2 linked regions of the Drosophila melanogaster genome follow. The protein of the gene in region 1 purifies or fractionates together with the protein of each later gene. This does not show direct contact. Each region holds a gene or a part of one and is shown on either strand. Other genes may lie near its edges. The genes, in order: PCNA and SuUR.

Region 1 (3,816 bases):
TGGAGAACTGGAAGCGGGCCGTCTTGCATATGACCAGCCACAGCAGGCATATGCTGCTCTGCGTCTTCACCGGCGATTCACCACTGGACATATTCGTACAATTTAGATGACGCCAACACGTAAACAGATTAGAAATATAACAAACTTCACGTATACTCCGCACTAAAACGTTCCGGCTTCCGTGTTTTCTTTTATTTTGTGGTTGATGTGAAAATTAAAGTCGAATCGGAAATCCGTTCCGGCAGGGAACGCTGCTAAGCTTACTTCTTCTTGGACACACCCACGGTGCGACCACGACGACCGGTGGTCTTGGTGTGCTGGCCACGCACACGGAGGCCCCAGTAGTGACGCAGACCACGGTGGGAGCGGATCTTCTTCAGACGCTCCAGATCGTCACGCAGCTTCGAGTCCAAGTTGGAGGAGGTCAGCTGCCAGTACTTGCCATCGATGATGTCCTTCTGCCTGTTGAGGAACCAGTTGGGCACCTTGTACTGCAGAGGGTTCGAGATGATGGTCACCACCTTGTCGACCTGCAAACATGGCATTTAGGTTGGTGTGCGTCTCGAACGGATTGGGCGTGCTCAACTTACCTCCTCCTCGGTGCACTCACCGGCGCGCTTGGTAAGATCGACATCGGCCTTCTTCAGCACAATGTTGGAGTAGCGGCGACCCACTCCCTTGATGGCGGTCATGGCGATGCCAACCTTGCGCTTGCCGTCGATGTTCGTATTCATGATACGCAGGATGTGCTGGAACTTCTCTGGGATGACGAGCGACTGCAAGAATGCAAAGAAAAAACATTAGTATAATGCATATAAACCACGCCATTTTTGCCAACAGCTAACGGCATTTGCAATTCACTATAAATTTGTCGTTTGGCGCTCAGAATCGCACATATTTGAGGTAACTCACCATTTTGCCGTTTGTATTCTCGTATTTACTCCTCACTGTAAAGAATTAAGAGGTATTTTGTTTTAGAATTTTGGAAAAATCAAATGGGCAGCACACCACTCACCGGAAACGGGAAAAGAAAAGAAGGCCGAATTAATGTGGCTGCCTGAGGCGGAGTAAAAAACCTAAAATTGCCTGCCACGTTCGGGACGCGTGCTGTTAATAGTTCGCCGTGTGCTGTTAGGCGCACTCTGGTCCATCACTAATGCAAATTTAAAAATTCAAAAGGCGCCGAACTTTTGTTCAATGAAAATGCTTAAAGTGCCATTTAGATATGCTCTGTGTGCACATTTAAAAAATTAAACTTCATATTTTATGTTTCTTTATATTTTATATTTTATTCCCCACATTTCGTAATACGTTTTATCGTACTGCATCCCTAGAGCACCGTTATATGAAAGCTTTTCAGAATGGGTGAAATAAATGGTAAATTATATTAGCTATGCGAATTTCCAATATTGATAAAAATGCATTGCATTTAAGCACTCAGCTGCGTTGGACAGGACGATGTCGTTTCCCTGCGCATCGTGTGCACCATGGCTCGCGACGGCAAGCAGCACAACCTCGAGGATGTGGACATGTACGGGAATACCGCCCTATTGAAGGCCTGCTATTTGGGTCGATTTGAGTGCGCTCGTACGCTGCTGGAATTCGGTGCAAATATCTTTGCTATGAACTATTTTGGTCAAAATGCCCTGACACTGGCCACTTATGCTGGGCATTTGACTTTAGTAAAGGAACTGTTGAGGCGAAGATCCTACAAGGATTTCAATCTGTCCTCGATGATCCCGGCCCTCTGTGTGGCTACACTGCAAAAACACTCCGCTTTGGTGGCCTATTTTACTCAATTGGATTCGAGGGGCGTGCAAGAAACTCAAACAGTGCATGGTTAGTAAAAATCAAGTGTATTTATATAGTAACATTAAAGTAAATTTATTTCAGGTCTGGGAGTTGCAGAGCTGCGAGGAATGATTAAAGCTGCAGGCCGCTTAGATAAGCGCAATGTGCGCTCTCCTCCCACTTTTATTAGCAATCGTCTGCGTTAATGTATTGTCATTTTGTAATAATTTATTAATTTTAATGTTTGAAATAAATATACTCTGTAAAAAGTGTGAACATAATATGTTAATCAAACCAGTTGGCAGGCCGCTCGCTGGCTGCTATCGATAGATTCAGTCGATATCGCCCGTGGCTTTTCACATCCCTATCCCGCTCATTTAGCCCGCCTGAAAGTAAAAAAAAAAAACAGCCCACGTTAATCATTCATCCCAAAGTCACAGCCGCGGTAACATTACTGCTGTTAAATTCTTAAGCCCGTCATCAGTATTTAAATAATAAAACACATTCAATATGTTCGAGGCACGCCTGGGTCAAGCCACCATCCTGAAGAAGATCTTGGATGCCATCAAGGATCTGCTCAATGAGGCAACCTTCGATTGCAGCGACTCCGGCATTCAGGTAAAAATTGCACAAAAAAGATTTTAAATGCATATCCCTAACACCTTGTTCAACTTACAGCTACAGGCCATGGACAACTCCCATGTGTCGCTTGTCTCGCTGACCCTGCGTTCCGATGGCTTCGACAAGTTTCGCTGCGACCGCAATCTCTCCATGGGCATGAATCTGGGCAGCATGGCCAAGATTCTGAAATGCGCCAACAACGAGGACAATGTGACGATGAAGGCGCAGGATAACGCCGACACTGTCACCATCATGTTCGAATCGGCTAACCAGGAGAAGGTATCGGACTACGAGATGAAACTGATGAACCTCGACCAGGAGCACCTGGGCATACCGGAGACAGACTTCTCGTGCGTGGTCCGCATGCCGGCCATGGAGTTCGCTCGCATCTGCCGCGATCTGGCGCAGTTCAGCGAATCCGTTGTGATCTGCTGCACCAAGGAGGGCGTCAAGTTCTCGGCCAGCGGCGATGTGGGCACCGCCAACATTAAGCTAGCCCAAACCGGCTCTGTCGACAAGGAGGAGGAGGCGGTGATCATCGAGATGCAGGAGCCGGTGACGCTGACATTTGCCTGTCGCTACCTGAACGCCTTCACAAAGGCGACGCCATTGTCCACCCAAGTGCAGCTGTCGATGTGCGCAGATGTTCCGCTGGTAGTCGAGTATGCGATCAAGGATCTGGGTCACATTCGCTACTACCTGGCACCCAAGATCGAGGACAACGAGACATAAGTCAGCTGTGTTCCTCATATTTATGTCCCCGCATCGTCACCACTCATCTTCCCACGTTCACTTCATTCCTAACTTTTAAGTAAATCCGCATTTTTTGATCAATAAAAGCTATACTGTGTAATGTTAACTGGCTGAGTTGTACAATTGATTTTAGGGCGTAATAACCATTTATTCGCATTCCATATATAACACTGGGTATCGTTTAAGGAGAGAGAGATTGCAAACATATACATATTAAGAGTAGTGGTTTATCAAACACCTTGGCGTGGGATAGACAAAAAACCTTGGCATATCTCCGACATTGAAGTTTGTTAGCCTCCGCAGCTGCAGAAAATCTGGACATACCATTGGGGAGTTCTAAATCAAGGGTAATAATGGGCGATTATTCTATTCACTGTGTATAAGTACTCGTTCCGTATGAGGCACATAGTCGGGAGTTTTGCAACAAAGAGCTTTAAGCGAGTGTGTGCCTGCATTCAAGAGCATTAATCGTATGTAAATACATGTAATAAATAATGCGTGTTTACACGCTTCCAATACTTGCATACTTGGCTTGCTTATGCTAGAAGCTACATACATACGTATCCTATACTTAGTTTGTGAGTATATAAAACATAGAAAGCTGTGTCATATAAAATTGTATAAAAAAAACCTTTGAGATTACATATACGT
Region 2 (6,534 bases), on another chromosome or scaffold:
TTGCTCTCCTCTGAAGAGCTATCTTCTTCCATAGCTTCCTCTTCATAAAATTCTTCAAGCTGTGCATCGCAGAGTTTAGTTAAATCCTCAATTTGCGTCTTGGTGTATGGAGGATCTGCGAGCGGTAATAATCTAAGAAAATGTCAATCTTATTAATCCAAAAGCAAGTAAACCCAAAAAAAAATGTATACCTACCCTTTTAGAATGGGCGCTGAGTAATTGCTAAATGCATCAACACGCTGCATAATAAAATCACGATCAAAAATCAAAGACCTGGACTTTTTGGGATTGTCGCCAAAAATAAGGGTAACCGAGAGATCGGCATTTGAGTGTACTAACAGACTGCGCATTGTCTTAGAAATTTTATCCGTGTTTAGGGTGGCAAAGTCCGCTGGTTTTAGTTTATCGTTCTGGAAAATAAAGAATATTTTAGTGTTTTCATCGTTAACACACTCCGTATTTATACTAACCAAATCCAGTTCGGCTTTGTACATGCGCTTCATACGGAACAGCATCCCAAATGTTTCCAACATTTTCTTTGCCCAGTAGCTGGCTCCCAGACGCCTTTGCTCCGACTCGTTTTGGTTTTCACTCAGTTGAACTAGGGCCAAAAAAACCTTCTCGATATATCCCTGCACGGCCAATAGACGGAAGAGTCCCTGTGTGGCTGCAATGATGACATCCTCGTTGTCGTCGATTTCCAAGCCAACGCCAAGGAAGTATTTCATTTTAAGCAGGCATTTTGTATATATGTCCAGCAGATCCTTCATCGATGATGACTCCTTTTTGACCAACGCACTTAGATCACCTAACACAGCACTCAGAATTTCTTTCGATGTCTTCGCCTTCTTGCTGGAGGAGTAGACTCGTATCTTATTGAATTCACCACTGGATTTTAGCTTGCTAATGGCCTTTAGTTTCTCAGCCCCCTTGATATGGCACTCCAGGGTTAGATCGTAGATCTCCAGAAGATCTGTCACAGCCTTTTCAAACTTAAGCTTGTCCTTGCGATGCAGTTTGCCAGCATCCAAATTGGACATGGTTTCCATGTGTGGCAACCAGTAGTAGGTGCGCAGCCACTCCAGACAATGATTCGAGGTGTTTCTCAGCACCTCCACAGGCGGCAGCTCCTGTCCATGGGCGCACAAGTGGCGCAGATCAACGATGAACGACTGGAGGCCCAGTTCCTTGGCCGTTTCATACATGCTGGACATGTTGTGTCCCTGGATAATGGAGGACATAAAGTTGTAGAATCGTGTAAAGGCACTGGCATAGGTGTCCTGTATTTTGGCGCTGCCCTCCTGGTCCTCCAAGTGCGCCTGAACAAGCACCGATGTGGCCAAAACCGCTGCCGGGCAGAGACTTCCTCTTCGCAGACACCAAATGCGGATTTTACTGAGCGCTTGACGCCATGTGGCTGGTGTGTTGGACTTGCCAAACAACCATTTGTACGTTGTATTAAATTCCAGCCTGAAAATGTAATGTTTTTATCAACGGATTGGATTTGTTTCCACTTTTTGTCTACGCACGTGTCTCGCCAAGGAGTGACCACAGTTCGTTGTTTTACATTTGGTGGCGGTGTGACAGGAACAACTTTGGCTTTCTGCTGTTTTCCCTTTTCAGGGCTTTTCTTTTTTGCCTCAAATTTTTCCTTCTTTGCAACAGCCATGGCAATTTGGTCTGAATAAATTTAAACAAATTCCATGCGAAACAAACCGCAAACGAAATCACAACAGTTGCAACAGTGATGAGCTAAATGCAGCTATAAAAATGAATTCCTTACACAAGTTTTGAGTTGGCAGAATAAATAATTTAATTTAAAAACATTTTACTCGCCAAAGGTTTCCAACCTAATGTATTTTACTAATCCTTGTCGGTTCAGTAAGTTTTTTTTAATATTTTGCTATTAATCAAGAGCAGTATCTCTTTTGGCTATTTCTAGACATTGCTTCGTTTGCCAACACTACCAACGTCCAACAGCTGATCGCGCCAACAAGACGCAGCCGGTTCTGTGTGAATGGTGAAATAGAATTGGAGCCAAAAATAATATTTTCTTCTTGTTCGATTGTTAAGCCTTTTCCCGCGCCCCCGCCATGACTAACAGCGCTTAACCCAATTTCCCAAAAGGGACGAAAATTGTCCTCCGAAAAAATTGAAGCTTAACTAGTTTCAACACATGTACGAGATCCAACATCCTGTTATCATCAACAACAACTACAACGTGGTGGACATACTGCATCCGGAGAATATCGAATTCGATGGGCCGTCTGCGGCGCGAAAGATGATAATTGGTTCATTTTCGATGTTCGTGATCTTCTCGTACCTGCAACTATTCTACATCCTGGTTGCCATCTATCTGGCCCTGCATCACGCACACCATTGATTCGAATTCTCTGAAGGATCATGTATCACTTTGTATCCGAGCAAACGCCGGAGGTGCGGCTCACAGATGAGGCACTGGTCACGAGCCACGTGACGCAGTACCTCAAGAGCTTTCAACTGGATGCCGTCCGCTTCGTCTACGATCGTTTGGCTAAGCGGGAATTCTGCATCCTGAATGATGAGAGTGGCCTTGGAAAGGTCGCTACGGTGGCGGCACTTCTAAGTGCCCTACCACCCGCCAAAAAAACACTTGTGGTGCTCCAGAACGATGAGCAACTGCTCACCGGTTGGCGATTCCATTTGGACACTCTCACTGACCTCCAGGTGTACATCATTCAGGGGGTGCAAGGTAATGCCTAATATTTAAATGGATTTGTTGATAAGAATGTTATCGTAATTTCACATTATTGCCATTTAAAAATTAAACTTCAACACCTTCACTTTCTGCCTTTACAGATACCACCGACTCCCCGCACAGCGTTTACCTGGCGAAATGGAGCCAACTACGGAGCATTGGAGATCTCAGTCGCCTCAAGTTCGACTACATTATGGTGGATAATCGGGGGCATTCGCTGAACAACAGCTTTTGCACTTCCATGCTGCTGAAGCAATTCGAGGGACGGGTAAACGTTCTTATCTCCAGTGTTGACGTTACGGTGAGGCAATGCATTCATAATATGGTTTATATCATTTTAGCTTATGTGGTTTCTCTCTCTCTGCAGTCCGACGTTAGGTTGCTCTACAATGTTCTACGGTTGGGCGGCCGACTGGAGCATCAGTACAAAAGCTTTGCGAGCTTCGATCGAAAATTCCATCTGCCAGATCCGAAGGAGGTATTCAGTAAGCGCATAGATCTCGAGGAATACTACAAGCAGCGGGGATTCCTCAGCGAGTACATCAAGTAGGTGAACCAGCAACGATCAGTTTCACTGTTGCATAAGACCGGAATAGTCAGTTGCATATGAAAATAACTTATATAATTTGTAGGGACTTTCGTCTGCGTCGTTTTCGTCATCAATTCGACAAGTCACTGCCACTTGTCGCACCGGAGCAATACAAACACAATCTGAATCTCTGGTTGGCCTCAAAGAACAGCCAGAGCACAATAAGCGGCTCAGATGTGTGCTCTACAATCGCTTCCATAGACAACAATCCGGCTCAGCAAAATAAAACTGGGCTCTTTGAAGAAACGGATAGGTTATCCGAGCACAGCGTGGATGATGTGGCAATGTCACCGCTGATATTCGAGTATTCCGAGTCTGACGATGAACCCCTAACAGTAGAACCTGATGCAGATCAAAACCCGGTATTAGTTGTATCCAGCGATGATTGTGAGATTGTAACACCTCCAAGTACTCCGCAAAATCGAACGCCCTCATTAAATGAATCACCAAGGACGAAATCAAAGAAAAAATTTAGCAAAAAAACGTCACCGCGCAAAAAAGCTGATCTCACCGATTCCGAAGAGGATGATGAAGCGACCGATAATATGCCGCCAAGGAAGAGAACTCGTGCAGCCACCGTTCATCTGACACCTAAGACAAGGAGACTCAATGTTCGAATTTTAAGGGTTTCCCTCGATACTCTGAGCACACCACCACCGTCCAGAACCACTACTGCGATCGTAACGCCCAAAACGGAGCCCACAGCTAGAAGAAAAAATCTGAAAAAGCGCACGGTGAGCCCAGTGGATGTGGGTCGTCCAGCCACAAGGGGAATGCAGCGCCTAACACGATCCGCTGAAACAAAAATAAACAGTAAGTACTTGAAACATCGCTCATTGGATGATGTCAAGCGTAGCTTTCCAAGGAGAGTCAAGTTGGAGGGTAACCAAACGCCCAGAAGTAGCAAACAAATAGTGAAGCAGGAGCCTAAGTCTAAAGTCGGGCAGGAAAAGAAACAGAAGACGGTGGATGTACCTGCTCAAGGAACTGCGAAACGAAAGCCTGGACGTCCGAGAAAATGCCAAACCAAGACTGAAGATTTGGGGAAGACAAAGACTAAGCCGAATTCAAAGCACTTGCCACCTACTCCTCAAGTTCTCAGTGGTAGCTCGTTGTCCTCGGAGTACATGCAATGTGCTCAGCGAATACCAGACAATTTGGATGCCATTGAGTCGCCCGCTTTTCGTGTGCCCTTTACACCTCAACAAACTCCAATGCTTCTAACCTTGCCGTCTACACACAATTTGCTCAACGATTCTGAGGTGGTGTCTATTCCGCTTTACAAAGATCCAGTTGAGACAGTGGTGATCAATAGCTCGCACGATGAGTGTTCTCCGCAGGATCCATCGCAGAGTCGTCGCACCAAGGCTTTGAAAAGAAAACGCAAACCCGTGACGTCCGTCAATTCAAGTTTCGGCGGCGGATTGGGTCTACCACCGGCCAAGAGGAGTGCCAACAAATCTCCAGATCTATTTAGCATATCCTCGGAACACTCGCAGATTCCGCTGGCGCAACCAAGACCCTCATCGCCCTTCGAAGGCTTTAAGATCTTTGGCTCTGAGGTGAAGCAGTTTCAGCAGCAGCTAGCGAAAGTAAATATATCGGTGCCAAAAAAGAAGCGAGATCGCTCGTGTTTGGATATCCTGGAGCAAATGTTCGAGCCACGACAACAGCAGTCGGCTAAAACTAGTCCCAAAGTCTTGCCAACCTTGCCACTGACCCAGAAGGATGATGCAGAGTCTACCATTACGCAGAGAAGAAGAACCCTGCTGGAAGATGACTTCTTTGAGATAACGAACAATGGCCAATTTGGCAGTCGCATGCGATTGAACTCCTCTGGCGAAGTATCGCCCGTGCAACCGGATCAACAGTCCGTCAGGCCGTCGCAGGCCAATAAAATCACCAATTATTTGATAGGTTCTGGAATTACGCAGGAGCGAACGCAACCTTCGAATGGTAATCGCAATTCCATTCTTGCATCGCTGCGCAAGTCACCCAAATCTCCCAAACAGGGTGCTAAATCCACTCAGGCCACGAAACTAACACGCTGGTTTGGCTCCGTCTTCGGCGGTGGAGCCTCACAGACCAGCTCCGTGGAATCGGTTAGTGCACCAAGTACGCCGGTGAATTCATCCACAAGTGCAGCAGCTTGTCAAACGCGATCGGCGAGAAGTGGTGGAGCATCAGGACCGACCAAAAGAAAGCGATTGGAACTGTTCAAGTGATGAACAGCAATCAATGAAAATGACAAAAACCAAATCAAATCAAATCCAATTATTGAATATATAATGAATGAAGGAATATATAACATATAGTACGAAATCAAAAGTTAACAGCATCCAAATATGAGGTTGTAAAATCAAATTGCACAGGACCGTCTAGCTAATTTAGTTAAAATTATACTTTGTGTGCGCATTTTGAAGAGTAAGGTTACCATAAAATTGAAAAGACACTGCATAATATTGTATGCGTATCTTGTAAGTAGATATAATTGGTAAATTATTAGTTCACAAGTTTATCTAGTTTCTCAATTCATTTTCCAAAATGTGCCACCTGATTTAGACGTGTTTTTTTTTTTTTAAATTATTTCAATACGCATTCAAAGTGTATTCAACAATTTTAAAGTAACGAAAGATATCGTTTTTAGAAGCAAGTACCGTGTAATTTTGTATCATCGTTAAATAAACACAGGGTTTACATTTAAAAACAAAGTATTGTGTGTGTTTTTTTTTTATTAGGAATTAAGATTATTGGTAGGTAAGTCAATTAGTTGTTTGCACATATGATTTAAATTTGAACTAGATCCTGGTATGCTATCCTCTCTGTTTTCCGAATATTATCGTTAAGTTGTGCATCACCGCCTGGCGCTGGAACTCCAGTTCCCGCCTACACATGCCGCCCAAGAGTGGTGGACACTGATACTGGATGTTCTCCTGGGCAAAGGTATCACCATTGGAGTTTCTGAACGTGAATTCACTCAGTGATTGTACTGCAATAGAGATTCATTTACGATTAGCGAGGGCATTCATATCACTTCCGTCTTATCTTACGGCAATAGAATCCGGCAAAGAAGCAAGTCTGATGCGTGGACTTAATGGCATAGGCCACGGGCGATACTCCGGGTAATGACTTGGTGACCACGTACTTGGCCGTAGCCGTATTCAGCCAGTATGGCCAATGGGATAGTCGCTCTGTGTACTGCACCGTG

What was found.
Region 2: the proteins of PCNA (region 1) and SuUR purify together in Drosophila melanogaster (affinity purification with western blotting; one study listed by BioGRID). This does not show direct contact.

What each region holds. Positions count from the first base shown.
Region 1 is NT_033778.4:20,261,207-20,265,022, reverse strand, and holds PCNA (proliferating cell nuclear antigen), read left to right. Parts: upstream 1-2,139; 5' UTR 2,140-2,301; coding exon 2,302-2,409; intron 2,410-2,469; coding exon 2,470-3,144; 3' UTR 3,145-3,269; downstream 3,270-3,816. Other genes in the region: CG8908 (uncharacterized protein), read right to left, coding at 1-91; RpS18 (ribosomal protein S18), read right to left, coding at 261-530, 591-776, 913-915; plu (plutonium), read left to right, coding at 1,362-1,377, 1,435-1,839, 1,894-1,997. UniProt on the Drosophila melanogaster protein: Likely to be an auxiliary protein of DNA polymerase delta complex and is probably involved in the control of DNA replication and repair by increasing the polymerase's processibility.
Region 2 is NT_037436.4:11,062,992-11,069,525, forward strand, and holds SuUR (suppressor of Under-Replication), read left to right. Parts: upstream 1-1,999; 5' UTR 2,000-2,176; coding exon of another isoform or gene 2,177-2,383; 5' UTR 2,384-2,403; coding exon 2,404-2,731; intron 2,732-2,838; coding exon 2,839-3,038; intron 3,039-3,104; coding exon 3,105-3,283; intron 3,284-3,369; coding exon 3,370-5,551; 3' UTR 5,552-6,034; downstream 6,035-6,534. Other genes in the region: CG32075 (uncharacterized protein), read right to left, coding at 1-132, 196-410, 471-1,470, 1,530-1,669; CG45101 (uncharacterized protein), read left to right, coding at 2,177-2,383; CG6310 (uncharacterized protein), read right to left, coding at 6,140-6,315, 6,377-6,534.